7 linked regions of the Oryzias latipes genome follow. The protein of the gene in region 1 binds, or shares a complex with, the protein of each later gene. Links are inferred from orthologs where the notes say so. Each region holds a gene or a part of one and is shown in the gene's direction. Other genes may lie near its edges.

Region 1 (4,149 bases):
GCAGCAGAACATGCATTATTTATAAACTTTAGTGATGTTCTTCCTTTAAAATGGAGCTTCTTTTAAAAAAAAAAAAGGAACGAGGTTGTTCTGTTTCTTATTCTGTGTCATAAATAGCATGAAAGAAATTATAAAATATTGGAATCACTGAAAAATATTGTAACTTTACTTGATTTATGTAGCACATTTAGTAATACTGACGAAGCAGGGTTTTTTGCACACGTGAATACATGGCCACTGGTCACATACTGACATCTGAAAACCATCAGACCATTCCTGTCTAATGTAAAACTTTAATGTAAAAATTTAAAAAAACATTCAACCTCCTGAGAACCGAGGAAAAAAAGTGTCTTACAATTCCTGTTTTTATGTGATTTCCTATCTATTTAGGCCTAGAACACCTAACAATTTTAATTTTTTTAAAAATATTTTTTATTGTAGATAGAAGACAACAGGATGATATTTCTGTGAAAATAGAGATCAATTTGGAAAATCAGAAAAAAGGAGCAGATTAAATCTTTAGAGTGATATTCACCCAAAAAACATTAGATGATCCTCGAAAATATTGTTATCGATGTACTGTGAAAAGTACGAGATTGGACTCCAGTATTCACAAACTTTGGGGTCATCTTGAGCGGGGCGCCCTGCTAGCACAGGTGTAAACCTGTGATGATGTACGTTTAAAAAACACAAAAAAAATCAAGTTAATAAAAAAAGCAGTTTTTTTTTTTTCCATTTAAACATAGTACAAACACTACAATGTTCTAACATGGTCATAAAATGTAAGACATTAGCCTGAAACTAAATAAAACATGCAAGTTAGTCCTGGTCCACAGAGCACGAAGACTTTGCTGCACCTTCTCTGACTCATCAGATTCTCCTGAATTATCATCTTCTTCATCTTCATCATCACCTATCACAGACTGAATCTCACCCTCCTCATCCTTTTCATCATCCGAAAGCTCCAAATATGAATCAACCTTCGACTATCTGGTACAGAATCCTCTCAGCTTCACTTCTTTCACCTAAAAATAATGTGTAGCCATTAAATAGATTAAAATGGTCCTGGTGTCCACTACAGTTGACATTCATTAAATGCCTGCTGTTTTAAAACCGAAAACCTGAAACTGTTTTCAGATCTAAAAATATTGTTCCTAACCTGTTTATGACCAAGAATATATATAATTATCATTGTAAAAAAAAAAAAAAAAAGGAATAGATACAGAATATTTGACTTGCCTTTCACCTTTCCATAAAATGAGGTTTTATATGTCGTTCACTTTGGTGTCCACCTTTACCATCGCGTTAGGAATAAAAAGTCGGAACAAAAAAAACACCGTCTCGGTTTCTCACCGGTTTGTTAAGTCGAAGGCAAACCGGAAGCCAGCTTCTGCTCGTCGCGGTGTGTTCGGACGGACGCAGTTTTTATCATCTTTTTCAAGCTTCACCTGTTTTTCAAACCCGCGCTTTTCAAGTAAGTTGACCTTTTATATGTATATCATCGATGGCCACATGGAAGTTGCACCGCTGGCTACGAGAGAAACTAAAGTTCAGGAGTTTAAATAGGTTATTAGCCGAGACCCAGGCTAATGATATAGGATCAAGCTAACAAAGTAAAATGTAACTTTGTTTTAAAGGGATAGTCGTGCTTTCAAAAACGGTCATATACCATAAATGGTAAATATCTGCAATAAAGTATGACACGATTTTATTTAATTTCTGGTAGTTGTGCATTATATTGATTTTCCTCATGGGAAAATTATCCATTGACTCTCCGAGGAGTCCTTTCCTTAAGACCAGAATTTCTAGCAGTTTAGCTAGGCTAAAAGGTTCAAATCTGCATAGCTGTGAGAAATCCGTCGTTTTCCTGTAATTCTAACAAATCAGTCATGCCTTTGTTTTTAATTTGTCACACTAATTCAAAACTTGTTTCATGTTATTGAAAGGGATGATAATCTAAGAAATACAGAATTTGTTGGTGTGCAAACAACAAAACAAAGCTTTTGTATTTCATTATGTCAAAGTAAACTGCATATGATCTGGAGAAAAGGGACGTAAGAAACATAAGGGGAAAAGTCTGTATTAGACATTCAACTCTACGGTTTATTAATATTTTTGTTTTTACTGAATATTTTATTTTGATGTTTATACACACCACTGCAAAGTATAGTAATTTAATAATTATTCTACTTCTACACTAGTTTAATAATAGACTGGTGAATGGGTATGTGTTCAATGTGTCCTATAAGATTTTTGTGGGGATGCTGGGTAAGTAAAGGATAATAGCTGACAAGGTGTCTTGACAGTTTAAGCTTCCTTGTCGTCCGTTAAAAGACGGATAATGACCTTTGAGGTGTCCATTATCAGAAATTATACCATGGTACGGGTGAATACTCAATTCTGATTGGCTGCTGAGTGTGCATTAAAAAAGTGATAACCGCACGTCTAAAAAAAGAAGTTCCAGTTACATTGCTTAGATGTTCTGTGTCACTGCGCCGGCTTTTTTAAAACAGACATTTGTTTCATCATCTGGATAAAAACAAGCGGTGAGCGGTGAACCTTCATTCTGAACTGATGCTTTAATTTAACATACACCATCATGACGATCAGCTTATTTATGGCTTTTACTGCTGCAGTGGAGGTCGGTGCCAGCTCAGCGTGTTGTCATGTTACGGTAACGTGACAACACGCCACACCATGTTGCAAAAAGTCCGCTTTTTTTGAAAAAAGCAACGTAAACCGAAAAAATAACAAGAATAAATGACTAAAAACTGATTGAAAATGTATTTGTTTTGTAAGTGACCATGGTAAAAGCAGGATAATCAACGCACTAATAATCAACGGAAGCATCGGGCAGTTTGGGTTTCCACGGCGTGCGTTAATTTCTGGCAACGTATACTTTGTTGGTGACTATCCCTTACTTAATCCCCACTCAGCAGCCAATCAGAATGGAGCATTCACCTGGACCATGGTATAACTGACATTCATTGATATATTTGAAGTTTAGCAGTTGGATGTGGTAATCTTTACTTTCAGATGCTCCCCACTCATTGGAGAGACACATAATAGAATTTTATAGGCTTGTGAAGTGTATTTACCATTAGCCATGTTTATAACATTTGCTTCTTAAAGGTTTAATTTATTTACATGTACCACCATATAATATAAAAAAGGCATTATTTTGAGTTTTTTTTTCCTTCAAATTATTTTGTTTTTATCTTTGAATTGTAATTTTCCTCACAAATGTCACAAGAATAACTAAAACCTTCTTGTTTATGAGTTTATCTGACTGGATCGTCTGTTTGCTGAAGCACAATTCAAATCTCTGATTTACTTTCTTTCTCCCAGAGCCTGTTGACTGATCTCAGAGAGAATGACTGACCGATACAATATCCACAGTCAGCTGGAGCATCTCCAGTCCAAGTACATCGGAACAGGGCATGCTGACACTACCAAATGGGAATGGCTGGTGAACCAGCACCGTGACTCTTATTGCTCCTACATGGGTCATTTTGACCTGCTCAACTACTTTTCCATCGCTGAAAATGAAAGCAAAGCTCGTGTTCGCTTCAACTTGATGGAGAAGATGCTTCAGCCATGTGGACCACCTGCAGACAAACCCGATGATGCATAAAACACAGCCCAACCAACTGCTGCAGCTTTTTTTCCCTCTTACCTTTTCTTTTTTTCAGTTTTGGACGGTTGTTTGTTTCTAACCTTGAGGTCAGAGCAGCCAGTAAAATCTGGTATTCATGTGTTCACTGAAGCTATTCTCACTTGTTTGATCGGTGAATACATTAACTGTAGTGCTTTCAGGAAACGAATGAGAATGACGACACCTGAACTTATCCATTTCAGAAAATGTTAAAAATGTCCAATATGTGCACAATGTTGAACTGTTGTATTTCTAATGAAAACATTATTTTTCCTTTGGTTAAGCTCTTTCACTGATCATTTTATTCTGGAAATATGTCAGTTTTCTAAAACGCATTTAAAAAAGTGAGAACGTTTAAATGAATAAATCATCCAAACAAGACGTTTTATTGTAAAAAGAAAAAGACCAAAGTCATCCTTAGGACTTTGTTGAAGGAGCAGCAATGGCTATAGCAGTGGTTTTGTTTTTGCTTAAAATATATGATTTTGTTTTTT
Region 2 (4,072 bases), on another chromosome or scaffold:
CAAGAGGCCCTATGAACACAGAACGCTTAAAGTTCCACTCTGATCGTCTTTTGATCTATTAGAAAAGCGTTCCCTGTGCTTTTTAATTGTGCCACTTTTTGGCACAAATTGAAAAACGTATCGTTTTCTAAGACATAGTTTCTGCAGTGCAACAGTAAGTCATTAGAAAATCACCTCTGAGTTGTGGGCAGGACTGTTGGTGTGGAGCAATCCTGCCCCCCTTCCCCAAAGCACAGAGCAGGAAGCTTCTGACCCACCTAGGGTATTTTCTGCATATCAAATGCAACCTTTTTCAAACAGTATTTTTTTATCTGCTCCTGATTTACATTTGAATAAAGAAATACTCCGAAATGCAATTTGCAGCTAAATTTTCTTTATAAATGTCCTCCATCATGAGAAAAATGGCTGAAGAACATGTTAAAAACACAGAAAACACAATTTTCAGGTCTTTGATGAAAATCAACTGTGCTGTGAACCACTGAAATCAAAGGCAGGAGGTAGAAAATGAAATTACAAGCATAGATAAGGACAGCAAGAACTGAAGAAAAACCTGAAAATGTATCTTCAGAGCACTAATAATACATTGACAACCAAGAAATAACTGGAATCCAATTATATAAGATTAGATGATTGTACTATTTTCAGGCTGCTTTGGTTGTTGCAGGAATTTATCCAAATCAAATTTTCCTTTGAAATATTTACTGTAAATTATTTCATCTCTTAATAAATGAGTTCATTGCTTTTTTTGTGAAACCTTTTTATTAAAACAATATTTAATAAATAATAAAATTGGTTTAAAAGGGAAATTTAACAGCAAAAGATTAATAAACTAAAACAAATCAAACCAACTTGTGGATAAAATCAACAATTGTGAACTTCTAAATAGAGCAGACTCAGTAGTGTCCAGCCTACATGTATGAGAGGCTGGAAGAATGGTCATTAGCAAAGGGGAATAAGTAATTCCCAGACACTAGTTCTTTTTCACATCAAAAACAAAATGTTTTATTTTTTATTATTATTTTTTTATATGAACCCTTAATTTATTTCTGCACCAAATGTGTAAACGGCACAGAACTGTTTAAATTTGCCTTTTTACTGAATAATTAAAAAAAATGTTGAAACCCCCTAAAATATGTATATGTATTTCAAAACGTCCCGGAGAAATTGCGAAAAATGGGGGCTTGATAATAGAAAAACATAATCTCCGCCACTGTGAGACGCTGGGATGAGACGTACCGCCAGAGGGCGCTCATAAAATAAATCTTTTAGCCTTTCAGGCTGTTGTACTTCCGGGTCATGCAGACTCGTTTGTCGCGGCGGTGGACTGTTTTTGTCGCTTTGCTACACCTACGGTGTTCGTGGATTATATTCACCGAAAACTACTTAACTGCAGTGTGATATCAATCTTTATTATCGCCACAATGACCGAGGTGAGACTTTATTTGAGTTATTTGATTTTCTTTGGTCCACGCTTTAGACTCACACAGCACTGGACCCGTCTAACTACTGGATGTTAACGTTCTGAATCTTCACACGTTGTAGTGTATCCCCCCTGATAAATCACATGGACTCGTCTTTCAAGTAAACTTTTTTTTCCTTCTAATTGTTACAGGAAGTCCAGAAACACTCAGTCCACACTTTGGTCTTCAGATCCTTGAAAAGGACTCATGACATGTTCGTGGCTGACCATGCTAAAGCCGTCGCTTTAGATGATGAAAGGTATACTGAGCTTTTACATTTATGACTTCTGTATTTAAAATGTGTATCATCACTTTAGTTAAAACTCACGGTCATGCTAATCGTGCGTTCATAATATGTTTATTAGTTTATTATGCAATAGTTCACATCAAAAGGGTTACTTTAACCTTTTAGGCATGCATTGGGAGAAAATATATTTTTTCATGTTTTGATTATAAACATCTTTGGCACTTGGAGATGGTTTGTCTATATGTTTCCACTTCACGTGGGCACACGGGTGGGTTTGCGTTGAAGCTCCTCTTTTTTTTTTTCGTTTTAAGCCACAAGTTGAAGTTGGCCGTGAAGCTAAAGGCAGACTACAGTCCTGTGTTACACATGCCAGTGCTAAAAGAAGGAAAGGACAGGATGTCACAGTATCCAGACGGTCTCCACGACAACGAAGCTTACATGCAGCCGGGTGAGTGGGAAGCATCACCGTTCAGTGTTTTTGGTTTTAAATTGTAAAAATCTGACTTTTTTTTCTTGTTTGTCTTTGGTTTCCGACAACTTCAGCAGATGATCCTGAATATCTGATCACGGGAACGCACGCTTATCCCTCTGGACCTGGTAAATACTTTCCTTTTAGCCAAGCTTAAAGGAACTTTATTCATTTTTTTAGCCAGCTTTTTATTATCTATGTCTTTAACCCAACAGGAGTCGCCCTGACAGCTGACACAAAAGTGCACAGAAACCCCAGTGAGTCAGGAATCCACTCCTTGGCTCTGGCTTTACCACCATCACAAGCAAGGTAATCCTGTTCAGTCAATCAATACAAATAGTACTGAATCAACTTTTCGGGATTCATTGATATATCTATTTTTTGTCTTCTGATGGCTGTTTTAGACAAGAGTCCAGCCGCACTGCAGCCACAGTTGCAGAGATCCGTCGTGGAGCAGAAAGAGCTCACGCTCAGTCCACCGCTCTGGTACATCACAAGCTTCTTAAGCGCTTTTTTTTCTCACCCAGTCTTGGTTGACAAAATTCTAACGCAACAATCTGTTCGTTGCAGCTGCTCTTGGAAGGAGGCGGCACCAGAAATTCCAACCTCTTGAGGAGAACGCCGGTCATGCCCAAACCGCAGTGGCATCCTCCCTGGAAACTCTTTAGAGTAACTGCAAATTATCCTTGAACTCCTTTTCAGTTGTGTCAAATCCGGTGACGGAGGGGAAGCAACATCTCACGTGATTACTAAAAAGGTTTTTGTCACCTGACAGGTCATCAGCGGCCACCTGGGCTGGGTCAGGTCCATCGCTGTGGAGCCTGGAAATCAGTGGTTTGTGACAGGATCTGCAGATAGAACAATAAAGGTTATCTCTTCTCTATTTTTTATTTTATTTATACAATACGTTGTTCTGATTGTTTTTATACTGTTTTTACACTACAAAGCTTTTTTTCTTCTCCTTTTTGCATTTGTTGAGGTGGAACAGCAAAAAAAAAAAGAACCAGGAGTGTTTTGTTACAGGGAAAGGATATCATGAGACTTGCTTTTTCCTTCAGATCTGGGACCTGGCCAGTGGGAAGCTGAAACTGTCTCTGACTGGACACATCAGTACAGTGCGTGGAGTGGCGGTGAGCAGCCGCAGTCCGTACCTTTTCTCCTGCGGAGAGGATAAGCAAGTCAAATGCTGGGATCTAGAGTACAACAAGGTACAAGCTTCTCTTCACAATATCTCTAAAAAAAAACATTTTAGGGCTGTTTGAATATAAACAAAGACAAAAAGTTCAGTCATTTCTTTCTTTTTCTTCATACGTCAGAGTTTTGGTGTTTTAGTGACATGAGTATTTTGTGTTTTAGGTAATCCGGCACTATCATGGCCACCTCAGTGCTGTGTATGATTTGGACCTTCATCCAACTATTGATGTCTTGATGACGTGCAGCAGAGATGCCACAGCGAGGGTAAGATCGGAATCCACTCATTACTCTTTATATATGTCACACATGGAAGAAAAATCCTACATGACAGACAAGAAGTGACAAAGCTCAGATCTTTAAATAAATAAATACAGATGTATTAAAAATAATCCTGCTCAAATGTCTAGAGCTGCAGAAAAAAATTGTTTTTGTTTTATCATAGGAACCATAGTTGGGGTTTTTGGAGAAAGCAAAACACTTTTGAGTTCTTTTGTGTATGAACAAATGTAAACGCCCCTGTAAACAAAAGTTCAATTTAAGGACACTGATCCAAAAAAGAAAAACATTCCTCGTTTATCCAAAATACACCATGAGGGTCTGAAATCGTGGCAAAAACAAGGAAGTCAGACTATAATTGTTAGAATTAGGAATTCTACAATTAGTCCCTGGAAAGGAAATTTCTTTTTTTTAATGCCAATATTT
Region 3 (4,174 bases), on another chromosome or scaffold:
GGTGTGCTTCAATAATTTCCCTCTTTACAGATTCCCTGGTGCCATGCTCAGCAGTGAGCGTGTTTCTGCAGAGATCCTGGTTCTTGATTGGCTGCCTGGTCTTTTTCCTTCATCACAATGACAGCTGATGGCACTGAGAAGAGAACAGTCAGGCTTTTGCAGATACTCACTAAGCTAAGCACTTTCGCTTCTGTCACAGAATAGATCTCTCTTCCTTCTGTAAAAAACACTGGTAAATGTTTCCACTGTAGACGATTTAAATGTTTAGGAGCTGAGAGCTGTGAGTACTGAATGTAAATTAACCATTAGTAGAAATGAAAGTGCAGCTTTTTCGTCGAGGGAGACAGTCTAATGGCAGACTAAGAGATGCAGTTGCTGACTTATTAATGAGGTATTATTGATTTTATGTTTTCTTTTCTTTTACATTAAAAAGCACTAATAGTTTTTGTGGCCTTTTCCTCACTGCAAAAGCAGCAAATTGATTGTGTTCTTGTTTGCTTGTTAATAAAAGAAGAGCTCTGTGAATTTGCTTGTAATCATTTCATTTATGATTGAACAAATATAATTGTTTTGTGTGTTTGTTTGTTTTTGTTGTTTTTTTTAAATCATAAATCAAAGAACACTGTTGACAGATAAATACCAGTATTTGGAAATGTCACATTTTCTCAATGGAGCCTAAATGCATTGTCATTCATGGAAATCATACTAGACCAGCAGCTGGTTATTACTGTCTTAGATAAACAATAACCCATGACATTTAATCTGTCTCTACATATTGGACATGACATGTAACAGGGACAATATTTAGGTCTTTTTGTCTCTGTTATAAAAAGCAAGTAGTGACGGCCTATATTTTTGAAAAAGTTTTAGTGTAAAAAAAATGATCGACAAATAAAAAAATAAGAACAAGAATTGAAATCGTATGCAAAGAAGAGTAAAGACTTTTACAATTCAAAAACATTGCTCTCCTGTCTTTCTAGGCATCGGTGTATGACCGACTAAATTTGTGGGTCAATTAGGGAAATCAGGCAATTTTAGCCTTTTTGGTGACAGTCATTATTTGTATGCCAGTCACTGGGTCCCACCACAGACACAGTCTTGCAGCAGATTGTGGCCCAGTAGTTATCATTTTTAACTTCTTTGGAGTCAACTTTATCTTCAATGTATTTATTTATGCATAACAGTAACTTTTTTGTTATAATAATAATAATAATAATAATAATAATAATAATAATAATAATAATAATAATAATAACAATAATAACAATAATAATAATAATAATAATAATAATAATAATAATAATAATAATAATAATAATAATAATAATAATACAGAAACGCGTCTTCTTCCTCGTCGTCTACATTGACCCTTGACGCGACCCGTAGTTTCCCACAATACAAAGATGGCAGCGGTCGGTGGTGGAACCGGACCCGAGCTTTCTAAAGCTGAGTACTTAAAGCGGTATTTATCAGCTGACGACAACCATGGTGCATCTAAAGGAAAAGGCAAGAAGAAACGAAAAAAGCTTCCTGAAACAAGGTGAGTACCGAAATACTGCGCCGTTTGGCTTTCTGTTAGCATCCAAGCTAGTTTCCTTATGCTAAGCTATTTTTGATTTGGAACTTTGTTTCTATGAGTTTAATCGTTTTTATTTTGTGTTACTTCGTTGTTTTTATCTAGACTTAAAATAGTAGACGATGATATTGATTGGAGACAAATGGTCCAACAGCAGCCGGATGTCGAAGAGGATGAAGAGGAAGCTCCGGTGGTGAGTTAGCTAGCAGCCTTGCGTTAGCATTTCCCCCGCAGTACGGTCTACTATGTTTAACTTTTACACGCATGAAAGTCTGATGGCGATATTTGATTTGATGATAATAAAATGTATGTCTTTCTTTTTTGTTAACATTATTGAAATGTAAATCCAGACGTAACACAGGAATTTCATCTGACGTGAGATTGAATTGATCTGCTTTAATGCAGGATAATCGATGCAAGATAGATTTGACACATTGGTTTGAATGAAATATGTGGGAAACTTGCATTGTGTGTGAAGCAGTCAACACAGATGTTTGAACAGAGTAAATAATGATTTGATTTGGTCTATGTTATGTACATTAAAGTTTTAAAGCCAAGGAAACCTAAATTTTGTACTTTGATTTACCTTCTCAGATTGCAGAGTTCATCGATGAGCGGCCAGAAGAGGTGAAACAGATGGAGGCCTTTAGGACCAGTAACAGATGGAAAATAGTTGGGGGTAACTATAAAAGCAGTATATAAATTTGGCTTCTTTTAAATTATGTTGTTTTTCATATTAACTGTGTTGTTCTGTAGCGGATGAAGACGAAGACAAAACAATTGACGAAGAAAATGAGCAGGAGGAGCCTTTAACATCTAAAAAAAGTCGGCATGACTCACCAGAGCTGTCATCGAAAAGTGGGAGACATGGTTCCCCTTTCAAAAAACCAAGACACGACTCTCCAGACATTTCTCCTCCTAGGAGAGGACGCCATGACTCTCCGGATAAATCCCCTCCCAGGAGAGGACGCCATGACTCTCCGGATAAATCCCCTCCCAGGAGAGGACGCCATGACTCTCCGGATAAATCTCCTCCTAGGAGAGGACGCCATGACTCTCCGGATAAATCTCCTCCTAGCAGAGGACGCCATGACTCTCCCAGCAAGTCTCCTTCAAGGCAACATTTAAGGAAGTCTGGGAAAGTTAAAAGTAAAGGTGAGTTTTATTTTACAGTTAAGATTTTCTTTCTTGCTTTTATACAGAACAATGCTCATTTTGCACAAGTCACTGAAAAAGCTGAAAACGGCATACCAATGCCATTTAAGCATTGAATAAGCTTAAAGCTGGAACCTCTTAGATTTTTGGGTTATAGTAGTTACTAAAAATATCAATAGTTATATTGACACAATAAAATGTTTATGTAAAACACATTTATTTTTTTCTATTTCATATTAGGATTACTAGTTTTGCTCTCTGCACTCTAATATATATAGTGCAAACATTCTCTTTGATTCTCAGAGTCTTCTCCCACTAGAAGGAAGCCCAGCTCATCGTTACACGGTAAACCAAGGTCGCCAGATGATCGGCGGTCTCCTTTAGCTCATAAGACTAAGGTTAGGCTGGATTCAGACTCCGATCAATCTCCTCCACGGAAAAAGCAATCGAAGCGAGAAGCTTCCGACTCTGACCAGTCTCCCCCTCGGAGACGCTCCAGAACAAGGCAGAGATCCGATTCCGACCAGTCTCCACCAAGAAAGCACTCGAGGAGTGGAAAGGACTCGGATGGAGATCTGTCACCACCACGGAGACCTGGCCAGTCTCATGTGAGGGATCTGCGCTGTTCAGGGATTCGTGTGAAACCTAATTTGCAGCACAAACCCCATCTAATATTTTTGTGTGTTTTTCAGGACCACAGGATGCTTTCCGGAGGAAAGGCTGGTTTGGTATCTGTGGAGATTCTAAGGGAAGAGCAAAAGGAAAACCGACGCAGAGAAAAAAAGAATCAACCTCTTGAAGGTTGGCCTTGCTTTTGTTTTTCAGTTTTACTTTTAAAAAAAAAGAGAGTTTGAAACAACCCTTTTCTTATCGTATAACTTTAGACTTTCTATATTTCTGAAGTACCGGTATATGAAAGTGTTTTTATACTATTTATACTATTTACGCATCAGATGAATCTCGTAATGCGGAGACGGTCTTCCGAGACAAAAGTGGCAAAAGGAGGGATTTGACCTCAGAAAGGGAGGAGCAGAAGAGAAAAGCAGGAGAAAAGGCTGCAAAAGATGAAAAATATGCCCAGTGGGGTAAAGGGTAAATCCACAAAACCATACCAAGTCACTGAAAATGCTACTTCCACCACATGTAAGAAGACAAGTTATTGTTTGTGTTTAGGCTGGCTCAGAATCAGATGGAGCAGCAGAAGCTGGAGGACGCCCTGCTGGAAGCCCAGAAGCCCTTGGCCCGTCACCGTGACGACGAAGATCTGGACCGCATGTTGAGGGAGCAGGAGAGGGACGGGGATCCCATGGCTGCCATGCTTCGGCGGAAAAAGGAAAAAAGCTCAAAAACACAAGGTTTGAAACATTCTACAAGTTTTTGTACTTTTTTTTTTTTTTTTACTCTTCTGATGGAAAAATTTGGGCATTAGTACTTCAAGTACAG
Region 4 (4,260 bases), on another chromosome or scaffold:
TTTTTATTGTGCTGGTTAATGTGATTAATACCTTTTTTAAGCTGTTTATGCTCCTCCTGTTGCTTTTGTTCAGTTTGCTTTGCGCTTCTCTGTGCTTCCTGCAGTGAAAACTCCAGTTGTTCTATATTTGTTTGCTGTTTTTCTAGTTGTTGTTCAAAATCCTTCTGCACTGTTTTTAGTTGAGATCTGATGGCCTCACGATCCGTTTCAGCTGCTGCTACTCTGTCTTGGAGGGGCAGTACCGTTCCCCTCACATCCTGCAGGTGTTTTGCCAGCCTGCGCATGTCTCTGAGCTGTTCATTGGCCCACTGTGCAACATCACCTGGAGTCAGATGTCCCACCCTCACTGTCTCATCCACAACTGCTGAGAGAGGCTGCAGAGATGAGGGTAGACCTTCACTTTGAAACAGATCTATCAAAGATTCTCCAGTTTTTCTCAAAAGAGATTGCACTTGGTGACATGTACCACAAGGGATGAGGGACGTTTGTGCAGTCTGGCAGCTGACATTATGGGAGGCAGTTTTAGGATGGAATGAGGTTTGTTCGGGGGAACTGATGGTGATGTTATTTTGTGGGAGGAATTTAAATGAGCTTGTGGAAGACCAGGATATGGAAGAATGCCTGGAGCAACTTGTGCTGGATCTATTGAGAGGGGACTCGACGTTTGACTCATCAGATTCCACTGAATTTGTCTTTTCTGCAATGTTTTTGAAGAGTTCCTAAAAAGACATAAAAGGCATTTAAAGTCAAATACTTTTGCATGTGTTTTTATCCCTGTGGCATTACTAGAAAAAGAGGTTTCTTTACCTTTTTATCTGCAAATTGAAGTAAATCCCCCCAATAATTCCTGACCACAAGACCAACTGACATGCTGCCTCTGTGTGCAGCTCCTTCTGGTCTGTGGACCCCCATCTGTTGTTCAGCATAAACGCTGACGCTTTGAAGAAGAAACAGGAGCCTTGTTGGGGAACAAGAACATGCAGAGATGCTTTTAAAGTCATTATATATATATATATATATATATATATATATATATATATATATATATATATATATATATATATATATTTTACATGCAATACAACATTAGGTTACCTGTCAATCATCAATTCCAGGAGAATAATGTGGGAATGCTGATTGAAGTCATCTTCTCCTGCCACGAAGTCATATTCCTCCAACAAAGCAACAATGTCTAGATGACAGGAAAGTTTGTCCGGGAATTTCCAGGAGGAAGCGCAGACTGGTCCTGTTCTGGAGAGCACGTCCAGAACCGCACCCTGAATATCGATGAGGTCTTTTCTTAGATTCTTGATAGAATCCTGACGACCCAACAACAAACTCATGTCTAAAACGCTTATTTGGCGCCTATAAGTACTTGTTGACGTGAGGTCTCCTTGGCAACAGTTAACTCCAAGTCCCACAGTTCTTAGCGGATATTTCCGGAAGTAATTGGCCGCCATTGCGTTAACGAAAACGAGACGCGGTGAGTATTAACGTCGACAAATAAAGAATTATAGCTGTATTAGCTATTACTTTTTGACTTACAGAATTTTTTTTAAAGAATTCATTTCAAAATATATGTGTGTTGCTTTAGTGTTTTCAGGTAAAATTGGTGATTCGTTAAAAAGACGCAGCCATGCCGCCCGGGCCTGTTCAAATGGTTCAGCCTGAGCCTAACAACAAGGTAAGGACGCTAACTAGCTAACATTAGCCTCAGATATCCGTCGCTTTTCTTAATGATTTATCGCCTTATAAAATTCGCCCCCTTTATGCAAAGCTTTCTAAGCCTGTCCAAAATTAAATGCTAATGTTTATAAAGCTGTAAAACATATGGGGCAACGTTTGCGTCTATATGTGTGGCCCTAAAAATTCCCAAGTTGAGAAAGTCAATAAAATTAGGTAACAGATATTACTTAAACTATGATTGCACTTCAATATTTGGTATCTTTGCATATGGTTTAGACTAAATGTGTTAGTTGTATTCTCAGGTTTTTAATGATCGAGTGGTTTAATGTTTAAATTGTTGCAGTGTATCTTAGAATTACCTAAAGTAAGTCTTATTAATTAATAAGTGAATTGATAATGTTTGTGTAATAATATTTTTAAGGAGGAACTTCACTGTACTTGATGTTATTTTTAAATATAAATATTCTTACTTTGAACCTTCTCTTGTCAGAATGATACACCTCCGGAGGAAACTCCAGCCACTAAACCTATTGTTGGCATCATATATCCTCCTCCTGAGGTCCGTAATATAGTTGACAAGACTGCGAGCTTTGTTGCCAGGTTGGTTGCCAAAGAACTGTCACGTACAGCTGTAAGAGGTGTTTGCTATCTGTAGTTTGACTCTATACTTGTCACTTTACAGGAATGGGCCTGAGTTTGAAGCAAGAATCCGTCAGAATGAGATCAACAATCCAAAATTTAATTTCCTCAACCCCAACGATCCCTACCATGCTTACTACCGCCACAAAGTCAATGAGTTTAAGGAGGGCAAAGCTCAAGAACCGTCCGCCGCAGTGCCCAAGGTTATGCAGCAGGCTATGCAGCAATCTCAGCAGCTTCCACAAAAAGTAAGGACTGTCTATTTACTGTGCCCGGACCTACAAGGGTTTATATTTATACAAACTTGCCTTTTCTTCATCAGGTGCAGTCCCAGGTGATTCAGGAAACTGTGGTCCCCAAAGAACCGCCTCCAGAGTTTGAATTCATAGCTGATCCTCCATCAATCTCTGCATTCGATCTTGATGTTGTGAAGCTCACTGCCCAGTTTGTTGCACGAAACGGCCGTCAGTTTCTCACCCAGCTCATGCAAAAAGAACAGAGGAACTACCAATTTGACTTTTTGAGACCCCAGCACAGCCTTTTCAACTACTTCACAAAACTGGTGGAACAATATACCAAGGTAAAGGACAAAAATTACAGCTTTCTTTGTTTTTTTATTGAAACTGTGTTATTGAACTTTTTTAAATGTTGCCTCAACCTTTAGATTCTGATCCCCCCAAAGGGTCTGCTGGCCAAACTAAAGAGAGAGGCTGAGAATCCAAAGGAGGTTATGGACCAGGTAATTTATTTTAGCCTTCAGAAGATTATTTTCTATGTTTAAAACTGTCTTGTTACAAACATCAGGTGAGATACCGTGTTGAGTGGGCAAAGTACCAGGAGCGTGAGAGAAAGAAGGAGGAAGAGGAGCGAGAGAAGGAACGCGTAGCCTATGCTCAAATTGACTGGCATGACTTTGTCGTGGTGGAGACTGTGGACTTCCAGCCCAATGAACAAGGTAGCATGACTATAGGAACACCAGGTCCAGATGTTGCAAGAACCATAGTTATTAATTTATTCATTTGGTGTTTTTCCAAGGCCACTTCCCCCCACCTACCACTCCAGAGGAGCTTGGTGCTCGAATCCTCATCCAGGAGCGCTATGAGAAGTATGGAGAAAGTGAGGAGGTGGAGATGGAAGTTGAGAGTGAGGATGAAGAGGATGAACGGGAGAAACGAGCCGGAGGTCAACCCTCACAGCCTGACCAAGACACACAAGTGCAGGACATGGATGAGGTAAACAGTTATCATTTACTACATTTATACAAAGTCCAACACTTGTCTAGGTTTCTTGGTTACTTGTGTAGCAAATTCACAAATTTAAAATGCTACTTCTCCAGGGATCAGATGATGAGGACGATGGAATTAAAGCTCCACTTCCACCTGACAACCCCATGCCACCTCCTCTGCCCCCGACTCCAGACCACGTCATCATTCGAAAAGACTATGATCCCAAAGGTACATTTTTTTCTGTGATTGAAATATTATGAAGTATAAAAACAAGCAAATAAAACAAGCGGTGCATTAAAACTTGTTTCCTTTTTTTTTTTTTTTTTTCACAGCCTCCAAGCCTATGCCCTCAGTTGCAGCTCCAGATGAGTACCTCATTTCACCAATCACTGGTGAGAAGATCCCAGCCAGCAAGATGCAGGAGCACATGCGCATTGGTCTGCTGGACCCACGCTGGCTGGAACAAAGAGACCGCAGCATCAGGGATAGACAGACAGAGGATGAAGTCTATGCTCCTGGTCTGGATATCGAGAGCAGCTTGAAGCAGCTCGCTGAGAGGCGTACTGATATCTTTGGTGTTGAAGAGACAGCCATTGGTAAGAAGATTGGTGAAGAGGAAATCCAGAAGCCAGAGGAGAAGGTGAGTTCCGTAGAAAGTAGCATGGTTTTTGTGAAAAGCATCATTTGAACTCGTTTTTTTATCAACCTG
Region 5 (4,032 bases), on another chromosome or scaffold:
CATTTATAGAAATGTGTATAAACTCAAAGTTGTGTTAAGATTTAGACCTAAATCTTCCGTTGTGTAGTGAGAGGGAGTTTTGTGAGCATATTTGTGTTTGGTTTTTTTTGTGACATGTTCTGCTTTGCTGCGAGACTCAAAGTTTTTATAAAGCGCTTGCAGCACGTTTCTCCAGGGTCATGTCAAGCCTCAAACTCTACTAGAACTTCAAATAAGTTAATTTATTGTTGTGTGTGTTTATTTTCCTGTAAATGAATCTGTGAATTAAATAAATAAAACATCAAGGCTGATTGTAATATTGTGTCCGCTCTGATGCGGTTGGTTCATACCAAATAAAAACTGTGTTTAAAATACAGGTTTGTGTTTTGTTTTTAAAATAAATTGACGGTTTGTTTTCTCTTTTTATTGCTGGTAAATGTTTGGGGGGGGGGGGGGGGGGGGCGTCTGTAAAAATCAGATTTAATAAAAAAAAGTTCAAATTCATTTACAATTCTAAGATTTAGCCAAGAGCAGCTTGAATTTGGGTTCTTACTTTTAGTGTACAGTCTCAAACACTCACAATCATGTTCAATAACAACCAAAAGTGATTCGAAATCCTTATTACCTGCATCATATTACAGGTTTTTTTAAATTGAAAATTAAAGCAATCAAAAATCAGGCACATTTCTTTTTTACCTAGCAAATGCCAAGGATGTAAATAGAAAGTCTTTTGTTCCTATATAGAAAGTTCATTGCTGTTTATACATTATTAAAGAGGCAGATTAACAGAGTGATTTAGCCTATTTTTAATTTATCAGTTGCAAACCAGTAATAGATTCTCAAATGTAATATAAATATAGCACATTGGATGGTCATGTTTGTTTTAAGTGCATAGCATGATTGTGTTGCACTATTCTGTATGTAAATATTGAATCATGCACTTACAAAACAGCTGTTAGATTAGTTTAAACATGGTCACATTTGAAATCCTTTACAAATAATAATTTTGTTTTATCATTATTTTTCTAACCTATTTTATTTTGCCATTATTATTTTTACATTTTTGTTCATTTTCCTGGCAATGTGAACATTTTGTCATTTGCGCATAGTGTTTGATATTTGATATTTTTGTCAGTGTTTGATACTCTGTGTATATGCAATATTTGTTAATAAAGTTTATTTCAAAAAATGATTGTGTTGCACTTCCGGACCTGTTCGCCCTCCGTCCACAGGGCGGCGCCATAAAAGATTCAGTCGTGAAGTTGTCTGACTTAGGCCGATTTAGACGTTGGTGCATCGCTTGAGTCCTGTTCCATCGAGCAGCATTTCACTAATCTTAAGTAGGCTACATTGATTACATCAGAATGGCTCGTGAGTCAAGGTATGCGTAAGTAACCTCTTAAATATTTACTTTTTTATTTTCATTGATAAAAGCTGACTTTAAATTTTAAAGTAGCGTTGATTTGAGTGGCTAGCATTAGCATGCTAGCTAAAGATTATGTTTTTGTCCGTAGCAAATGCATTGTGCGTGCTTCTTCTATAACAGTTCTGAAATAGTTAAACGTTAAAGGACAACTATATTTTTTCGGTTCAGGCATTATAGGAAACGCTCGGCGTCTCGTGGACGGTCAGGTTCCCGATCGAAGAGTCGGTCCCCCGAAAAACGGTCCTCCAAAAAAGATGACCGAGACCGAAGCAGGAGGGACAGGTCACGGAGCCGCGACCGTCGGAGGTCCCGATCCAGAGACCGAAAACGAGCCAGGTGAGTGTTGTGAGTTAAACCTGGAGCAGTGAAAGGAGGATTTACGGTCAGTTCAATGTGAGGGGTCCTTTTGGATTTGGGTTTGGAAATAAATGGTTTATTTCAAGGAATCAAAACAGAAATATTCATACAGAAACATATCAAACTCTCATACACATGTAATAAATTATAATTACTCCAAATCATAAACAGACATGTTAGCTCTAATGCTTACAGAACACAACACGCACAGAAAAAAATAAATATCAGGTTTGTCTAAAGGAGTTTATTTGCTTTAAAGGGAGTGGGAGGAAACAAACATTTAATCTCAACCCTATTTTGCTTTACCTAACTTTTTAATTTTTTACATAAATGATCAATAACCGGTTCTTAACTTCAGATCAGTTATTTTACTTAACAAACACAATTATAGGCCTTTAACATAAATCCATAAGTATTAATACTATCAAACAAAGGTAAAGTCCATATTCATTATGTAAGAAGACAACATTGTTCTGGAAACCATATCGTATCACAGATCAAGTATTACAATTTAGTGCACGTTTTTCATTAAAAAACATTTGAAATATTTGAGGAATTAATATTGAGAATCGCTAAACAGTAATCCTGAATATAAATCCCACACCAGGAGTGTGAAGTCTGTTCAGTTTATGCAGGTTAGTAAAGTGCTGAAATCTCGGACTGATATCTTATTTTCCCCCGTCTGTTCTCTGGTTTCCTTTGGTGTCTAGGCGCTCCCGAAGCAGAGACAGGAGGAGGTCCAGGAGCCGCGACAGAAAGAGGTCGTCCAGCAGGAGTCGAGCCCGCAGGTCCCGGTCCGGCAGCGCAGGAAAGAGCAAAAAAACGAACGATGAAAAGTGAGAAGTTTTAGACTACTGAAGACCTTCTGTCTACAGACAAAATGAACAAATTCATGTATGTTTCTGAACCTAAATTCAAAATGGATTAATTGATTTGATTTTGGTTCATTTCAGCAATAAAAACACAGGAAAAAGGGACAAAAAAAAAACAGATGGATCAAATCTATTTTATATCATATATAAATTCATCCATAAAAGAAGGAAAATGATGGCTACTATTCCTAAATGGACATATCTGCACTTAAACACACAGTGCACTTACAACACATTGAATCCATTAAACATAATGATTGTCAAATTGAGAAGAAAACTGTAATAACCTAAGAAATTATTACTAGATCTACAATTTCATGTAATCACAAAGTTTCACTCAAACTCTATATTGTTAACATTAAATAGCTGTATATGCTTATTTTTTTAATGTTGACTCACAGGCCTAAAAGCAAAGAGAAAGACAGTGTTGATCCCCTATCAGAGAAGAAAAAAGTGAAAGAGGAGAAAGAGGATGAGAAGACGGAGGATGTAAGTACCTGCAGAAAAATGTTTGTTTGAAATATGTAGCAGCAGATGAGCATAGCATCCTTTCATCTTAGCAGCAAGACTTTGACCAGAACAAACTGGAGGAGGAGATGAGGAAAAGGAAGGAGCGAGTGGAGAAGTGGAGGGAGGAGCAGAGGAAGAAAGCAATTGAAAACATTGGAGAGATCAAGAAGGAGCTGGAGGAAATGAAGCAGGGTAAAAAGTGGAGCTTGGAGGACGATGAAGGTGAGGATTCACATTTTTGTTTGACTCTCCAACAGCTGACTTATCTCTTCACCAGTTCAGGGGATTTTGATAGTTGCTCATCATAAACTTTTCCTTTCAGATGATGATGAGGAAAACTCGGCGGTAATGGAGGTAGAGGACGACGACAGTGCAGACGGGAAAGAAGAAGGAAAAGAAAAGGAGATAGAGGAGGAAAAGAAGGAGGATGGAGACCAGGAGAAGGAGACTCCCATGGAGCAGCAGGCGGAGGAGGACGAAGTGGATCCTTTGGATGCTTACATGGAGGAGGTGAAGCAGGAGGTGAAGAAGTTCAACATGAGTGACATGAAGGGAAATGACAAAGTGAGTAAAGTGTTTTCACGCTAACATTTTTCTTATTTATATTTTGCTGTTGGATAAGACGCTGTTTCCGTTTGGCGTCTGTTTTTCTTCTTCTGTTGGTGATATTTGTTTTCTTTTTTTCCCACAGAAAGGGGCGATGATGGTAACTAAAGTTGTGACAGTCGTCAAAACCAAAAAAGGAGCCGGCACTCACAAGAAGAAGGGCGAGCTGATGGAGAATGACCAGGATGCCATGGAGGTGGGTCGCCTTTAGCTGCTTTCTGCAGCCTTTCTCCAAACGATGACTGTGCTGGAAATAAACGGCCACAATTCTCCTGCTGTGAG
Region 6 (4,144 bases), on another chromosome or scaffold:
TGATTCCTTCATCCAGTCTTCTCAGAAAATCCAGAGGTTTCAGGTCTGAAGGTCTTTTCCCATCATCGTCTGTCCTCTCAGAGAAGTTTGTCCCGTTCTGAACCACGACATCGTGAGAACTTTGTTCTTCACAGTCCTCAGACAAATGAATCCCTTTCAGGTCTGACAGAACAGGGATCGACAGAGACTTCTTCAGGAAAATAGAGTCGTTGGTGTAAAGCCTATTTGCTCTCTTGATTTGTTCCATCTGGAAGACAGAAGAATGTTGTTGTTTTTTTTTTAAACTAACAAATGTCAGAATCAAAAAAAATTATGTCATAACATAAAACCAATGAATAGATTTTACTTTTAGTGTGGAAACAAAAGATGTTCCTTGTTAATATTTCAAATTGTTTTAATTGTCTAAAGTAGGGAGTACAAATCTGGTTTATTATACTTACAGAGACTCCATACTTCAGGGCCAGACCTTGGAGCGTGTCTCCGGACTGAACCGTGTGTTCAACGTGTCTCTGGCGGACCGGAGACGCCGGCGACGATCGCATCAAGCTGCCGTACGACATAGCTCGGCTTCCGCGAAGAAGACCGCCTCTCCCGGATGGCAAAGCCGCTCGTTGTCCGGACATATCCGATAATTATTTATGTGAAAATCATCAGTAACACGTACGCAATTTTAATGTTGGAACTGGTTTGACGTCGTCCTAAACTAGCAAGCCCAGTTCACCTGCTAGCTGCTAAAGTATCGACTAATTCATCTTCTTCTTGCCAAAGTGCCGAAATGGCACTGCCTGAACCTTATCAACAGTCGGGAATTGAAGAAAAACTACTTAAAACACCTTAAACATAGCTTAACTGTCAGTAAACAATCTAAAAACATATCTAAAAACTTTAAATATGTTGTTTTTTTCAGTCAGCTGCAGTCTGTTGCCATGGCTGCCGCTGTGAATGACGGCTCTCATTGGGTGGGTTGTGTTCAAAGTAATTTGAATACTGAAATTTAAATGAAAACATAACATTTTTATTTTTTTTATTTTAATCAGAGTTTGTTTAGTATGAATTAAAATTTCATTGATTAAAATAGGCAGTTTTTTTCCCCTTCGCGATTTATTTACAAAAAATATGTGATGTTATAAACATTTCACATCGATGCTTTCTTAAGAGTACATGCAAACAAATCAATTTAAATGTAAAATAATATTTTAACAATGGTTTGTTAGACTAGTTAACTTGACCATAAATAAATGAAATGGTACGATGGGAAACTGCAACGTGGTTAGCTGGAAATCGTGGACAAAAAAAGTGTACATGTTTGTCCCTGAATGCAGCACTACCAACACTTCCGGGATAGTGTGACGTATAGAGAAGCTAGCCCAATGAGTTAACTCATTGAGCTAGCCGTTAATCTGGTGTTTATACCATTGATTTACTTCGATATAATTATGTCATTCAAAAGGGAAGGAAATGATGGGAGCCAACTTAATATTTTAAAGGTATTTAAAATGATATAATACATTGTATTCATAAAAGAATAGGCTTTCTTAAAGTTCATACGCTGTCGTTTTTTATTTGTTTTGCTAGCTTAGCTAGTAGCAAGTTTCATATGGATATAATGTACACAGAGTAAATGAAAACTGTTTGGTAAAGTATTTAATGTAAATTTTTCATCTGCTATGAAATACTTACTGATGATTTGGGCTGTTGGTTTACAGAAACGGCGTGTATCTGACCTTTTGTCCAATTTTATTCCGGAAGATGAAGCTGCTCTTCTGAGTAATGGCAGGTGAATATAACTAAACCCTAAGTGTCAGTTTTGTTGTGAAAGTAACTCACCTTTCTGCGTTCGCTCCACACAGGTACACGTGCCTTGTGTGTTCGTATCGCCCAGTGTTTGACACAGTTGACATGTTGACAGTCCACAGGCAAGGGAAGAAGCATTTAGAAGGTAAATATCCTCCTTAAAAAGTGACTCTTAGTGTGGAAAATTTTTAAATTCCCCAGTATAAAAGTGTCTTGGTGGTCATATTTAGATGTAGACAAAACACTGTAGGCTCATTTCTCTCAGATAGTGTTTGCACATTTGGCCCCAAACAGATCTTCTGTGTTGTTGATGTAACAGGTGTGTCATATTAAGGCACTAATGACAGGAGGTGTGAGCATCATTCGCCTGACGTTCGTTGTTTTCCGACATTAATGCTACATAACAGAGTATTGGTAGAAAATGGATGTAAATGTCACTCCAGAATGGGTGTGACATGTAAATATGTCATATATGTTTTCTTATTTTTTAAATAAAGTTTTATTATGCATGTGCTTTTGGTGCATGCTTTTATATCCGTTGTGTTTTTTTGTTTTGTGTTTTAGGTTTAAAATCCTTTTATGGGAAAAAGTCAAAGTTCAAGAATGAAATTGCAAAAAGAAAACATGAAGATTATGTCAGAGCAGAAGACAAAGAGGTTTGGAGCTTCAACTTGATCATTTTACCTGCGGGTAATTTTGTATTTTGACCGACCGACCGACCGACCGACCGACCGACCGACGTACCGACCGACCGACCGACCGACGTACCGACCGACCGACGTACCGACCGACCGACCGACCGACCGACCGACCGACCGACCATCACACGAAACAATGACATGATGACCGACCGACCGACCATCACACGAAACAATGACATGATGACCGACCGACCGACCATCACACGAAACAATGACATGATGACCGACCGACCGACCATCACACGAAACAATGACATGATGACCGTGTGATGACCGACCGACCGACCGACCGACCGACCGTTTTTACAGAGACGACTAAATACTTAGTGTTATTGTGGTTAAATTTTTATTGTTGCTGAATTATAGTACTTTATTGACTTGTTTTGGAATGACAGTTGTAGAAAGGATGCACCTCCTGTACTCCTGTAAAGATATTATGTCGCTGCTTGTAACATGTTAAATATGGATATAAGAATAAGTCGTATTCTTGTGTGACATCCAGTACGTGCTTGTGGCTGCCACGTGACTCAGACAACCTGTAGACTCTGCAGCGTGAGTTGAAGCGGGTGTCTGCTGGTGGAAAACATGAGCAGAGCCGGCCAGAGGACACATGGAGCATTTAGCTGAGTTGGAGTCTGTCAGAGCTCAGTCTGAGAGACAAGTCTCTTTTGTTGTGATTGCAGGAGCCCTCCAGTTCGGCACCTTTACTGGCACAGACCCGGAAACTTACCCATCATGCTCTTCTGAAGACTGTTCCATACAACAGCTGCCACAGAAAAACCAGGTTGGTCATCATTTAAGGTTAAAATACTCATCTGTAGTTTAAAATGGAAGTAAAGATGTGAACATATATCTGTTTATTTATTTATTTTCAGTACAAAGTTGAATAAAGGACAGTCGAGCACTGCTGGAAACACATTTCAACACAATTTCCCATCTGCATGTTGGAAACCAGAAGTTTCTGACAATGCATCCACAAGTGATTCTAGTGATTGTTTCACAGGTAAAATCTGCTCCTAGAAATCATATTTTGATATTTTATTTAAAATAACTGATGGTTCTGTTTCAACTGATGCTTTTATTTTTATTTTTGTAGAGTCTTGTTCATCCAAAGACAGAATTCAGTGTCAGTCTGAGTCGAGACAAACGGCAGAACTCATAACGCCGCAGAGGCGAAGAGAGATGGAGCACTACCTCAAACTGAAAAGGTGCAAAACTCTCTTTTCCTTTTTGTCACCAGTGCTAGATTGAATCTGCAGGCCACAGAAACTATGTTTTAGAAACTCTTAGCTTAACAGTCCAAGCAGTAAACTGATAAAATGAGTGAAGTCCTCTGCCTCAGGCTCCACACCCAGCTCCTCTCCAGCATCTTCACATGCGGCCCGTTGAAATTATTCTGCTTCCTTGATTTGTTCTCTCACTCATTTATTTGTGTTTGCACCATTTCTGTACATTGTGATTTATAGGGTAACAAATATATGGGATGTACACAAGACTTGACATTTTAAAACATCTGCGTCCAATCCTGACATAAACAAATGGCACGCCTATCAACAAATAAAGTAATAAATCCACCAAATCTTAACAAAGTTCTTCAATAAACGTATGGAAGGTTGAGATAATAAATTCATAATTGTGAAAGTTTATCA
Region 7 (4,071 bases), on another chromosome or scaffold:
CTTTGTCCCGACCCTCCGCTGTCTTACCGAAACACTGGGAAAACAGAACCCAGCGGATGGGGCAGATGCCAGTTGGTTTGGCCTTTTTCTGCTTTAGCTTTATGTTCAGCTGCTCCTGCAGATGAATGACATCTTTCCTCGTGGTAATGGCTGTAGATACTTTCTGCACCCACTGTTGGTCCCCCTCTGTCCATTCTCTGTAATGGTAAGAAATCAGAATTTACTTGGAAAATCATTTGACAGTAACTTTTGGATGCTTTCGGGATCTTAGATTGTGTGTCAGCTTTTTATTTTTGAATTAAGTAAAAAGCAGACGTATGTGTGATAATGCACCTGTGGGCAATATTTGCTGTCAAGACTTGATCTTTTTAAGTTGATGAAAGTTGGACATTCACTGAGCTACAGGACCTTTCCTCTTTTCCTTGTTAGACATTAGGATTTGTTGGTGATCTTTGGATCACATAAAAACTACATTTGTTCCAACTGTAGCTGTTCCACTGTGTTGTTTAAAGTTTTTTGAGTTACATGGCATGAAAAGCATCTGTTTTACAAAAAAAAAGCCTGATTTTATTTGATTTCCCAGATTTGACTTTTGAGAAATAAAAGTTGAGGATGGTCATTGTGCTCTGGTGCATGCCACAGTCTATGTTTGTCTGCATAACTTAGGAAGAAGAATAAATAATAATGAATCTAGAATAAATAAATCTGAATCGTTGTGCTTAGGTGAGCTTTTGAGGTTTTCTTTTACCTAGGTGGTAAGATGGCATGCAAAATGTTTTCATCCAAATTCTGTGTAGGGGGAGATGGAACACCTGCTGCAAAGCTGGGAGCTGGAAGGTTGCTCAACGTTAGAGTACGTCCCTATTAACGAAAAAAAAGGGGGGAAAATTGTACATTTATTTGTATTATTATTTTTTTGTAATTTCTTTTATTATTTTTGAAGATTTTATTTGGTAGCCTTTCATTGTCCACAATAAAGAAATTATGGAAGTACAATGAGATTTCTAGCCTTAATTGATATAGTTTCTGGGCGCCAGTTAAATAGATCATTAACCATCAAGACTTACCTTTTGAGATTTTTTATCTCCTTTTGTTTTTACCAATATCGGATTATCGTATTTCAAGAGGGACTCGCCAAAAGAAGTCATCGTTTTGAGGTGAGAGAGCAAGTTACACGTTTTGTTAGAAATACCGTTTCACTGTTTGTGTTGTCATGGCGACACTTTTTCAAAATAAAATAATATTGATTTGAACAAAGTTTCATTTAAGAATACTTTTTATGTAATACGACACGTATATGTGTCATCAATGCTTCAGTCTATGACAAAAAAAACTTGAACATCACGTTTTCCCCATTTAAAACGAATTAGGCCATGGCGGAACCAACAATAGGGAGCACATGGAGCACGTCGAGGGGATTAATTTGAGTCACCGGAAACGGAAGTTTGTTTTCACAACGCCAGAAGTTTGGTAACGCATCAAAGGTTTTATTTTTTATCTTGGCTTGTCTTTGTCTAGCTACTGTGTCGTGTTTTGGTTGAATTGAGCTCAAATTTATTGGAAAAATAAACTAAAATGACTAAAGAAAAGCGAGACAGAAGAAGGGAGTCTCCAGAACGGCAGCCCGAAGTGAAGATAAAGCAGGAGAAACTGAGCCCGAGTAGCACTAGCAGGCCACACAGATCACGCAGTCCACAGGGGAGACGAGCTAGCAGGTAAATGTCTGAAGGTTTTACTACGATTCATGACGTAAAACTGTCTAAATATAAAACAATTCACAACATTATTTTTTTGTTGTACTTTCGCTGATGAAAATCTAGCTTCCGGTTTTCATTTTTGACGGTTACGGAATAAACACTTAACGTAAGGGATACCCGGTTGCTCCAAAAGAGTTTTGATCTGAGGTTTCTGTAAATCAAATAATCCTTAACACGTTTGTGTCAAAAGTAGTATAAGTATCTGACTCGTATCAAGTAAATCTTGTTTATTGTTCTAAGATATTTTATTACCGTCTTGCTGATAAATCAAGGTTAGACTAGAGACATAAAATTTGCTTTAATTTTTTTTTTTATTGAAATATACTCATTACAAAACTCTGGCAGACACAACAACACAATGATGCAAGGCACAGCTCTTCACGAAAAACAAAGATAAAAAAAAAACAAGAATGTATACATATATAAAAAAAACTATCAGCATAAATTAAAATACAAGGCAATCAACAATCTGGACCCTAGATTTGTAACCATTCTGTAGCAGATTTACAAATGTCATCAATGAAAGAATTTGAGTTGTGAATACATTTCAATGAGGATAAATACAATCTGACTTCATTTTTAAAACACAGGAAATTCGGCCGATCTTTTTTCCACTTTTGCTTATGAATATATTTTCCCAAAATCAGGAGGATGTTCACTATTTGTTGGCTCTTTTGGCAACTTACTGTTTTAAAACAAAATATGTTTTTCTGTGAATTGTATGTTGTTAATTTTTTGACTAAGCCAATTATGAAAATCTTGCCAGAATCTTTCACTGGTCTGGACATGAAAAAAACAGGTGTTGGGTTGTTTCTGGGGTTACCTGACAGAAATCACACGGATCAACCTCAAAGCCAAATCTACTTCTCAATGTCTCTGCCGATGGGTAATAATTGTTTATAATTTTGAACTGCATTTCTTTAATTTTGGGAACCACTGGCCATTTTATGAATTTCCATAGTTGAGCATCTGATGTGACAGGTGTCTCAGTTATTTTATATTTCACTTTTCTGTTAAAGTCATGGTATAATTTACCTCTAAAGGATTTGTTTAGCAATTTATTATCACGTTTTTTTTCACTAAATTTTATTTCTCCTATTACTAAATTTGGTAGTTTAATTTGAACATAGGAAGACAATATTGTATTTTTTATTAAATGTATTGAAGCAATTGGAATTGCTCAGCAGGTTTTCTGAAATTCCTCGGTTGAGCATTCAATATCATATTTACCTTTGAAGTCTCTTAACTGAAGAATTTCTCCATTTGAATCAAGAATATCACTTACAAAATGATCTTAAGATAAATATACTTTATTGATCCCAGCTTGGGAAATTGGGTTGATGCAGCGTCGGCGTTAGGCTCAAGGTACAAACATACAAACAATAGATGACAACAGAGAACCAGAACAATTTTATTTATTTTTTTATTTGAAATGGTTTATTTCAAGCAATTAAGTAGAAATAATACACAACAGCAATATAATCATCAGTTATACATTCATACAGTAACTAATCAAACTTAGGATAATTATACATATTAATAAATATTGCTTGAAAGGGAGTGGAAGGAAGCGAATTTATATAATCCCACCCCGTTATACTGTAACCATTTTATTACATGATTTATCAATATCCGGTTCCCAGTTTATATCATACAGAATTAAAAATCATAAGATATCGATAAAGCACATGACAAAGATGAATTACTTAAGTATTACGTCAAAAATAACTATTTTAGAAATCAACATGGCAAATGCAGATCAGTCATCTGAAATATATGCAGATTATGTTACTTATAAAAGCCATTCATATGAATAAAACATAATACTATATCAGTAAAGTAGACACAACACTGTTTCAGGAATTTTCATAGCAAAATTTCATCAAGTATCAAAAGTTAAAAACATGTGCAAAATTATGCTACATTAGGAAAGATTTTTGAATCAATTTATCAATTTTTGGAGAAAGTGAAATAAAATCATTAAAAGGCAATCAATTTAACAATTTTCAATAAGTCATTAATCATTTGTTTTACTTTTTTAAATATTTTTTTTGTATTTTTATTATTATTTTTTTTATAATAAAGTAATGCTGTAGGGGGAAAGTAAAAAGGGTCCATAACTGTCGATTGTCCAAGGTTGGTCTTTCTTCTTTAACTGATAACAGCCGTACTTCTGGGTTCAAAACAGAGTTTATAGTTCTCTTCGATGTTATGACTGCAGACATTAGATTCAGGTCCATATCCTTCTTCAGCTGATATCAGCGACGGTGAAAGTTGAGGTCAAGTTGTCTGCAGGTCAGAACTCTCTGCTGTT

What was found.
Region 2: sf3b5 (region 1) and plrg1 share a complex: the UniProt entries of both Homo sapiens proteins name them as parts of the minor spliceosome. The link is inferred for Oryzias latipes from reciprocal best matches to the Homo sapiens genes SF3B5 and PLRG1.
Region 3: sf3b5 (region 1) and bud13 share a complex: the UniProt entries of both Homo sapiens proteins name them as parts of the minor spliceosome. The link is inferred for Oryzias latipes from reciprocal best matches to the Homo sapiens genes SF3B5 and BUD13.
Region 4: sf3b5 (region 1) and sf3a1 share a complex: the UniProt entries of both Homo sapiens proteins name them as parts of the 17S U2 SnRNP complex. The link is inferred for Oryzias latipes from reciprocal best matches to the Homo sapiens genes SF3B5 and SF3A1.
Region 5: sf3b5 (region 1) and ddx46 share a complex: the UniProt entries of both Homo sapiens proteins name them as parts of the 17S U2 SnRNP complex. The link is inferred for Oryzias latipes from reciprocal best matches to the Homo sapiens genes SF3B5 and DDX46.
Region 6: sf3b5 (region 1) and scnm1 share a complex: the UniProt entries of both Homo sapiens proteins name them as parts of the minor spliceosome. The link is inferred for Oryzias latipes from reciprocal best matches to the Homo sapiens genes SF3B5 and SCNM1.
Region 7: sf3b5 (region 1) and snip1 share a complex: the UniProt entries of both Homo sapiens proteins name them as parts of the minor spliceosome. The link is inferred for Oryzias latipes from reciprocal best matches to the Homo sapiens genes SF3B5 and SNIP1.

What each region holds. Positions count from the first base shown.
Region 1 is NC_019873.2:17,221,611-17,225,759, reverse strand, and holds the start of sf3b5 (splicing factor 3B subunit 5), read left to right. Parts: upstream 1-1,349; 5' UTR 1,350-1,474; intron 1,475-3,348; 5' UTR 3,349-3,373; coding exon 3,374-3,634; 3' UTR 3,635-4,149. UniProt on the Homo sapiens protein: Component of the 17S U2 SnRNP complex of the spliceosome, a large ribonucleoprotein complex that removes introns from transcribed pre-mRNAs.
Region 2 is NC_019859.2:20,801,112-20,805,183, forward strand, and holds the start of plrg1 (pleiotropic regulator 1), read left to right. Parts: upstream 1-1,272; 5' UTR 1,273-1,421; coding exon 1,422-1,430; intron 1,431-1,612; coding exon 1,613-1,719; intron 1,720-2,018; coding exon 2,019-2,155; intron 2,156-2,250; coding exon 2,251-2,304; intron 2,305-2,391; coding exon 2,392-2,485; intron 2,486-2,580; coding exon 2,581-2,662; intron 2,663-2,746; coding exon 2,747-2,845; intron 2,846-2,951; coding exon 2,952-3,044; intron 3,045-3,234; coding exon 3,235-3,384; intron 3,385-3,532; coding exon 3,533-3,634; intron 3,635-4,072. UniProt on the Homo sapiens protein: Involved in pre-mRNA splicing as component of the spliceosome. Component of the PRP19-CDC5L complex that forms an integral part of the spliceosome and is required for activating pre-mRNA splicing.
Region 3 is NC_019872.2:13,070,039-13,074,212, reverse strand, and holds the start of bud13 (BUD13 homolog), read left to right. Parts: upstream 1-1,374; 5' UTR 1,375-1,403; coding exon 1,404-1,540; intron 1,541-1,681; coding exon 1,682-1,769; intron 1,770-2,170; coding exon 2,171-2,255; intron 2,256-2,332; coding exon 2,333-2,731; intron 2,732-3,034; coding exon 3,035-3,339; intron 3,340-3,423; coding exon 3,424-3,532; intron 3,533-3,684; coding exon 3,685-3,823; intron 3,824-3,904; coding exon 3,905-4,086; intron 4,087-4,174. Other genes in the region: uncharacterized protein LOC101171185, read left to right, coding at 31-128. UniProt on the Homo sapiens protein: Involved in pre-mRNA splicing as component of the activated spliceosome. As a component of the minor spliceosome, involved in the splicing of U12-type introns in pre-mRNAs.
Region 4 is NC_019867.2:18,886,040-18,890,299, reverse strand, and holds the start of sf3a1 (splicing factor 3A subunit 1), read left to right. Parts: upstream 1-1,460; 5' UTR 1,461-1,483; intron 1,484-1,594; 5' UTR 1,595-1,636; coding exon 1,637-1,684; intron 1,685-2,176; coding exon 2,177-2,286; intron 2,287-2,368; coding exon 2,369-2,573; intron 2,574-2,647; coding exon 2,648-2,905; intron 2,906-2,989; coding exon 2,990-3,064; intron 3,065-3,129; coding exon 3,130-3,280; intron 3,281-3,360; coding exon 3,361-3,557; intron 3,558-3,661; coding exon 3,662-3,779; intron 3,780-3,883; coding exon 3,884-4,191; intron 4,192-4,260. Other genes in the region: ccdc157 (coiled-coil domain-containing protein 157), read right to left, coding at 32-719, 808-958, 1,096-1,460. UniProt on the Homo sapiens protein: Component of the 17S U2 SnRNP complex of the spliceosome, a large ribonucleoprotein complex that removes introns from transcribed pre-mRNAs.
Region 5 is NC_019872.2:3,750,681-3,754,712, reverse strand, and holds the start of ddx46 (probable ATP-dependent RNA helicase DDX46), read left to right. Parts: upstream 1-1,232; 5' UTR 1,233-1,343; coding exon 1,344-1,366; intron 1,367-1,573; coding exon 1,574-1,741; intron 1,742-2,472; coding exon 2,473-2,598; intron 2,599-3,035; coding exon 3,036-3,123; intron 3,124-3,194; coding exon 3,195-3,366; intron 3,367-3,466; coding exon 3,467-3,708; intron 3,709-3,835; coding exon 3,836-3,946; intron 3,947-4,032. UniProt on the Homo sapiens protein: Component of the 17S U2 SnRNP complex of the spliceosome, a large ribonucleoprotein complex that removes introns from transcribed pre-mRNAs.
Region 6 is NC_019874.2:27,122,062-27,126,205, reverse strand, and holds the start of scnm1 (sodium channel modifier 1), read left to right. Parts: upstream 1-1,344; 5' UTR 1,345-1,436; coding exon 1,437-1,487; intron 1,488-1,706; coding exon 1,707-1,777; intron 1,778-1,850; coding exon 1,851-1,939; intron 1,940-2,358; coding exon 2,359-2,450; intron 2,451-3,178; coding exon 3,179-3,279; intron 3,280-3,370; coding exon 3,371-3,498; intron 3,499-3,591; coding exon 3,592-3,703; intron 3,704-4,144. Other genes in the region: lysmd1 (lysM and putative peptidoglycan-binding domain-containing protein 1), read right to left, coding at 1-247, 441-623. UniProt on the Homo sapiens protein: As a component of the minor spliceosome, involved in the splicing of U12-type introns in pre-mRNAs. Plays a role in the regulation of primary cilia length and Hedgehog signaling.
Region 7 is NC_019874.2:23,603,914-23,607,984, reverse strand, and holds the start of snip1 (smad nuclear-interacting protein 1), read left to right. Parts: upstream 1-1,271; 5' UTR 1,272-1,399; coding exon of another isoform or gene 1,400-1,470; 5' UTR 1,471-1,575; coding exon 1,576-1,715; intron 1,716-4,071. Other genes in the region: dnali1 (axonemal dynein light intermediate polypeptide 1), read right to left, coding at 28-197, 749-861, 1,068-1,148. UniProt on the Homo sapiens protein: Required for pre-mRNA splicing as component of the spliceosome. As a component of the minor spliceosome, involved in the splicing of U12-type introns in pre-mRNAs. Down-regulates NF-kappa-B signaling by competing with RELA for CREBBP/EP300 binding.